Linked DNA regions of Callithrix jacchus. The protein of the gene in region 2 interacts with the protein of the main gene of each other region in a pairwise test. Links are inferred from orthologs where the notes say so. Each region holds a gene or a part of one and is shown on either strand. Other genes may lie near its edges.

The links. The genes of interacting proteins can lie anywhere in the genome.
Region 1: the proteins of CRX (region 2) and PPP1R16B interact in binary tests that used the Homo sapiens proteins (3 or more experiments, as listed by UniProt). The two-hybrid records come from large-scale screens. The link is inferred for Callithrix jacchus from reciprocal best matches to the Homo sapiens genes CRX and PPP1R16B.

Annotation. Positions count from the first base shown.
Region 1 is NC_133506.1:34,340,740-34,344,256, reverse strand, and holds part of PPP1R16B (protein phosphatase 1 regulatory inhibitor subunit 16B), read right to left. Parts: intron 2,876-3,517; coding exon 2,369-2,875; 3' UTR 1-2,368. UniProt on the Homo sapiens protein: Regulator of protein phosphatase 1 (PP1) that acts as a positive regulator of pulmonary endothelial cell (EC) barrier function. Involved in the regulation of the PI3K/AKT signaling pathway, angiogenesis and endothelial cell proliferation.
Region 2 is NC_133523.1:41,738,877-41,742,393, forward strand, and holds part of CRX (cone-rod homeobox protein), read left to right. Parts: intron 1-3,179; 5' UTR 3,180-3,213; coding exon 3,214-3,313; intron 3,314-3,517. UniProt on the Homo sapiens protein: Transcription factor that binds and transactivates the sequence 5'-TAATC[CA]-3' which is found upstream of several photoreceptor-specific genes, including the opsin genes.

The DNA.
Region 1 (3,517 bases), on a different chromosome or scaffold from region 2:
GAACAGCCCAGGAGGCAGGAGGCATGCAAAAAGGAGAGAATGGCCTCAGGTGCTCAGTGGGTGAGGCAGTATATGCCTTCAGTGTTTGGCCCCTGAGCAAAAAGAAAACCTGCACAGCTCTCTCCTGAGGAGCATATGGTTTCCCTCACACTCCCTACCTTGTAACTAAGGTTGGCTCACGAGGGATTTCAGCATCAGTCTGGGCTGATACTGTTTTACAGCCAAAGGTAAGTGTGTTTTAGATCATCTTGTCCTGTTCTGGCCACAGCCTGAGATGTTAAAGAGCCCACCCCAGATGCCAGCGACATGGGAAGCATCTGTGCACCTGTCTTCAGCCTCCTGAGTCGCCTCCAAGTCTACTCTAGACATCTAACCTGGCATTGGGGTGGAGGTGCCTGATGCTGAGAACCTCTCCCCTTCCAGCAGCCACCAAGGGTGCAGTCACTCCCATGGACCCTCTGCTCTCTGGCCCAGCTCCCCTGCTCCTGGGAAAGCACACCCAGGTCCCTTCAGGTCCAGCTCCCTCTGTGGGTTATGGGGCCACGGGGGCCACAGTAGGGGGCTGAGAATGACAAACAGCAGACCCCATAACTAGAGCTGTGGCACAAGGCGGGGACGCTCTTCCAGCCCCAAGCCCCTAGTCCAGGTACCCCTCAGGGAAAGTTTCTTGTAGACTGAGAAATAAGTGGATTAAAAAGAACCCAGATCTGTTCCCCAAATTAGAATCTGGACCTAGGGCGCCCCTTCAGAGCTCTAAGGAGGTAGTTTAAGGACAAATCAAAGGCGCATAGAGCAGGGGACACACCTGCAGCTTGTTGGTTACACCAAAAGATTCTGGCTGAGCCTGTGGACAGTGGGGGTCCTGGGAGCATCAGCAGTGAGGGGAGAACAGTCATTCACATTTGTCCCTCCCCAGCATCAGGAAACCTGGGGCTATGAAACTGCAGAGCTGGGCAAGACCCAACTCCAGCCCTACCACGGATCTCCTGAATGCAGGACGGGATACCGACCATGTGATCCCTGGGTTCGCAGCCTTGGGGCATCACCACTCCTGCAAGACCAGGCTGGGAGCCCCTGGGCTATGCAGGAACTCAAAAGGGCTGACTGGCAAATCTGCCTTACCAAGCATCCCCAAAAAGGCAAAAGCTGGGCCCGGGGTCCTGAGCACTGACTGATGTGGGTGGATGGGGGTGGGAGGTGGAGGCAGGCAGGCCCCTAACTGCTTGCTCTGACAGCTCAGTCTGAAGAGGGCTGGCTGAGATGGGCTGGGCTGAAACTGTCTAGATATTCACAAAGATCTCAGGGTGCTGGGATCTGTCATTATTAACCAGCAGTATTTTCTTATATTAACTGGCCTCTTTCCCTGGAAAAGCATTCCTATGGAAGCTCCTCATTTAGCTTCATTTTTCCAGCACCAGCCAGTAAAACCCAGTGACCATGATACAATCCACAAAAAGAAGCGAATTCAGTTACCTTCCTCCCTGTTGAGTTTTACAGACTAAAGGAATTTTTTAAATCAGATACACTTTGGTAAATACTGACCTTGTCCCCATCCCCCACCCTTCTGCCTTTGACACTTCCATCCAAGAGCAAAGCATGATTTGGTTGATTCCAGGAATGGAATCGCCTGGTTTCCCCCTCCACCCCTGGATGGTCACACAGCTGGCTCCTGGCATGGGCAGAAGTGTGCCTCTCAACAAGGCTGCGGGGAACAGGTCTGTGCCCATCTTATCTACCCATGTAGGTTCCTGGCTCCCTCTGAACACAATGAGGACTTCTTGCCCCTGCCAGGTGTGGCTGGTGGCCCAGACCTTGGAACGACTCTGAGCAGGACTATGGGTCTCTGCTTAGCAGGCCCCTTCCCCTGCTAAAGCCACATTGGCAGTGGTAATGAGACTCTGGGTCTTAACTTCCATCCTTTTGGGAATACCCCACACATTCTCAGCCTCCTTGCTTCCCCTGAGCCCAGGTATGTCATTTCTACACACACTGATCAAATGTGTGTGTTTGTGTGTGTGTGTGTGTGTGTTGATATGTGACATGCACGTACTGATCCGGAGAAGCCTTTATACCAAGAATAGAGCTGGGATCTCAAGCCCACCCTCCCAAGATCGGATAGCAGAGTGAGCCAGGAAGCCACAATGGGCCTTGTGTCAGATGGCAGACAATGCAGCAGGAAGCAGAACCATGGGACGTGGGACATGGGATGCTATGGGCAGCCAGGTGAGGGGTGGGGTCTGAGTTCCTCTGAAAAGCAGAGCCCACCTGTCCCCAGCTGCCCTCTGACACCTCCCTAGCCAGGGCTGATGGGCTGGCCTGGATTCCAGAAGCCTCTCCCCAGGAATCTCCCTCCTCCATCGCATGGAGACTAGGAGATACGGCAACAGCCATGCACCTTTTCCTCCATCTCCTCTATGGGGGCCTTGAACTTTAAGAGTGGGGGATCTCCGCTGGTGACCGTGTAATATACCGAGGTCCCATTGCTGCTGTACGGTGAAGTTCTGCCTCCGATCAAGGGGGCCTTGCCTTCACTGCTACTCTCGCCTGTCCTGGCCATGCTGCTGCCCAGGTGGGTGCTAAGGAAGGGGTGACTGAGCAGCTTGGCTGCAGCCCGCTGCCGCTTCAGCTCCAGAAGCGTTTGAGGGCTCTCCTTGTAGCTGCTCCAGGGCGGGGTGGCGTCGGCCACGCCAGGGTTGCCATAGGCCATGCTGTAGTCGGGCACCTCATGCACCTTCCAGACATCCCCATTGGCCAGTGCATACTGGTAGGCACTGACCGGAGCCCGGAGGCCATTCTCAACAGGCATGTCCAGTTCACCTCGTGGGATCTTGGTAGGAAATTCAGAGAGTAGCACGGGCTTCTCCAGCCTGGGGTTCTGCGAGTGAGAAGGACAACATTACCAGCTGGCTGGAAGATCTGAACCTACTATCCACCTGTCTCTCTGCTGAGGCCATCGTTTTTTGGATCTCTCCTCTACTTGTTTTCCCTCCCTGGGTATTGAGGCCAAAATCATCCTTAGGGGAACCCCCAATCTGTGAATTTTTCATAGATCTGACTGAATGTGGCCTTGCTCCAGAGCCTGGATCAGGACCCAAGGCCAAGAACAGCCTGGCCAAGATGGTGAAACCCCATCTCTGCTAAAAATACAAAAATTAGCCGGTTGTGGTGGCATGCACCTGTAATCCCAGCTACTCAGGAGGCTGAGGCAGGAGAATCACCTGAACCTGGGAAGCAGAGGTCGCAGAGACTACATCCTAATGACACATGTGAAGCCCTGGATCCTTCTCGGCCCAGACTTTTCAGTTGAATAAGGCAATAAATTCTTTTTGTGTGTAAGTCCATTTTAGTTGTTTTTCAGTCACTTGTAATCCTTCCTCTGTATTTGAAGCGCATCTCACAAAGATTCTTATCCAGGGGTCCTGAATACCCAATAATCCTTGGATAACAAGAGCTTGAAAAGTAGCTGCTTCCTAAAAACTATAAACTAAAAAACTGATACAGGCAACAATAACTAACA
Region 2 (3,517 bases):
GCTGAGGCAGGAGAATCACTTGAACCTGGGAGGTGGAGGTAGCAGTGAGTACTGCACTCCAGCCTGGGTGACAGTGAAACTCTGTCTCAAAAAAAAAAAAAAAAAAAAGTAAATCAAACACAGGTACAGTCCCTTAGAATAGGGTCCCCTACCCCCGGTTCGTGGTCTGTTAGGAACTGGGTTGCACAGTTGGTGAGCCCCAGCTCCTGTCAGATGAGTGGCGGCATTAGATTCTCATAGGAGCATGAACTCTAATGTGAATTGTGCATGTGAGCGATCTAGGTTACACGCTCCTTGTGAGAATCGAATGCATGGCCCACCCCCGTCCATGGAAAAGTTGTCTTTCGTGAAACCAGTGCCTGGTACCAAAAAGGTTGAAAACTGCAGCCCTTATTTGCAAAGGTATATGCCACAACTGAGGAAAAAAACCCCAAACTGCTGCCTTAGAATATGAAGCACACTTCGGGTGGGTCTGTCAGATGTTAGGCAGGCTCCAGACGACTTGGAAATGGCATGCTGTCAGCCTTTTGTCTTACTGCCAAGCCTAGAGCAATTTTTTTTTTTTTTTTGAGACGGAGTTTCCTTCTTGTTACCCAGGCTGGAGTGCAATGGCACAATCTCAGCTCAACACAACCTCCGCCTCCTGGGTTCAGGCAATTCTCCCGCCTCAGCTTCCTGAGTAGCTGGGATTACAGGCACGCGCCACCATGCCCAGCTAATTTTTTTTGTATTTTTAGTAGAGACGGGGTTTCGCCATGTTGACCAGGATGGTCTCCATCTCCTGACCTCGTGATCCACCCTCCTTGGCCTCCCAAAGTGCTCTGATTATTGGTGTGAGCCACCACGCCCGGCCTTTCTTTGTCTTTTTAATATTTTTTGTTTTTAGAGATGGGGTTTCTCTTGATTTCTAGTAGCTCTGAAATGAAAATAAATCAAACAAAAAAAGGGATAGGGTTTCTACATGTGGGTCAGATTGGTCTTGAACTCCTGACCTCAGGTGATCCACCCGCCTTGGCCTTCCACGTGCTGGGGTTACAGGCATGAGCCACTGTGCCCGGCCCCCTCGAACAATTTTTTAAAACTATGTACCAGAAATCTTTTTAAATCAATTCATAGAGAGCAGCCTTAACCTTTCAAATGACTTTATAGAATTCTCTTGCTTGGAAATGCCGTATTTTACTTAAAACGATTTACATGATATATGTAATTGAGTTAATACAAACCCTTTGGTGAACACGCAGTCTAGTTCTGCACTTTGACTGTTATAAATATGCTGCATTTATTTTATTTTATTTTTGAGATGGAGTTTCAAAACTGATCTTGTCACTCAGGCTGGAGTGCAATGGCACGACCTTGGCTCATTGCAACCTCTGCCTCTTGGGTTCAAACGATTCTCCTGCCTCAGTCGCTGGGATTACAGGCATGCACCACCATGCCTGGCTAATTGCTTGTATTTTTAGTAGAGACAGAGTTTCATCATGTTGTACAGGCTGGTCTCGAACTTCCGACCTCAGGTAATCTGCTTGCCTTGGCCTCCCAAAGGGCTGGGATTATAGGCATGAGCCACTGCACCCTGCCATAGTTTTTTAAGTTTTTGTAGAGATGGGGGAGTCTTACCATGTTACCACCTGAACATAAATGCTATTTTCTTTTTCTTTTCTGTTTTTTTTTTTTTCTTTTTCAGCCTCCTGAGTAGCTGGATTACAGGCATTCACCACCACGCCTGGCTAATTTTTGTACATTTAGTAGAGACGGGGTTTCATCATGTTGGCCAGGTTGGTCTTGAACTTCTGACCTCAGGTGATCTGCCCATCTTGGCCTCCCAAAGTGCTGGGATTATAGGCGTGAGCCACCTTGCCTGACCCTTACTGTCGTTTTAATGCCACTCTCCCTCAGGGTGACCAACCCATCCAGTTTGTCTGGGACCATTCTGGTTTCAGCACTGAAAGTCCTGTGTTCCAAGAAACACATCCTCCATTCTGTCCCACCTCTATTCTGGGCAAACAGGGACTGCTGGTCGACCCGCACTCCTTGGTTATAAGTAAGGCTGAGTGTGTTTGCCCGTGGTCACAGAAAGAACGGATTTTGGATGAGGAAGTGTTATGGGATCAGATTCGTTTTTTTGTTTTTTAGAGACTTGCTGTGTCACCCAGGCTGGAGTGCAGTGGCCTGAACACAGCTCACTGCTGCCTCAAACTCCTGGGCTCAGGTGATCCTCCCATCTCAGCCTCCTGGGTAGCTGGGGTTACAGGTGTGCAATGCCACACTCAATTTTTTAAAAACACTTTTTTTTTTTTTTATTTTAAAGAGACATGGTCTTGCTATATTGCACAGGCTGGTCTTGAACTCCTGGGCTCAAGTGATCCTCCCGCCTTGGCCCCCCAAAGTGCTGGGACTACAGGTGTGGGCCTCTGTGCCTGGCCAGGACCAGATTTTATAGAGGATAGAGTAGGAAGAAGAGCTTGCACTTATGAGGTGCATGACGGCTTCAGCTCTCTGCTTTGCAGAGTCTCAAGGAAGCTCTGAGAAACTTAAGCAGAGGCTGTTTTACACGTGCGGACACAGAGGCTTAGAGAGGTGAGATAAATGGCCAAGGCCACGTACCTAAGAAGAGACTGAGGCAGGATTTGAATCTCAGCCTGCATGCTGGAAATAGATGCTCGGTGCTGCAAAGAAAAATCAGCACTGAGACAGTGGATCTTCCGGCAAGCAATTTTTACTTCCTGGACTGCAGGAAGGGTACCCTCGCTAGCCACCTTGCCCCGAGAGTACAAAGAACAAAGGAAAACACACAAATTTATATCTTATGCATTTGGGGTCATCCTTACTGCTGTGTCTGATCTCCATTGGTTGGGGCCAGACCTCTCAATCTAAACTAAAACCTGATTGGCTAAAAACTTAAAACTTTTCTCAACAGGTAAAAGCAATGGAGAGCTGGGCCATGCCTGTGAGCACGTCCAGCACAGATATCCTGGTTAAAGTACAAGGATATAGAATGTACTGTAAGTGTGGCATGTCTGACAGCTACATAGCATAGGGCTTAACAGAGAGTTATTAGCACACGTACTCTTTTTCCAAGAAAGGAAACTTGAAAAAGGAACTTCTCTGCTTCCCACACCACATGTCACCACATGTGAGTAACTGGTAAGTGAGCGAGCATCCCTCCTCTTCTCTTGCAGGCCCCTGACTTGGGCCTCAGTGTCCCTGAAGATCATGATGGCGTATATGAACCCGGGGCCCCACTATTCCGTCAACACCTTGGCCCTCAGTGGCCCCAGCGTGGATCTGATGCACCAGGCTGTGCCCTACCCAAGTGAGTACATTCACTTCTCTTGGCACCCCAGGCTGGCCCCATCTCTTGGAGGACCTGTGGGTCCCTTTGCCTGCAGGAAGAAGGCAGTCACGGGGGCGACCTCACCATACACCAGCTCTCTGGGTTCATCTGAAATGCATGTCCCTTGGGAATGCAGGGAAGCACGGACAGTCCTAGAAATTTAGGATAGAGGTTCCTTTTAGG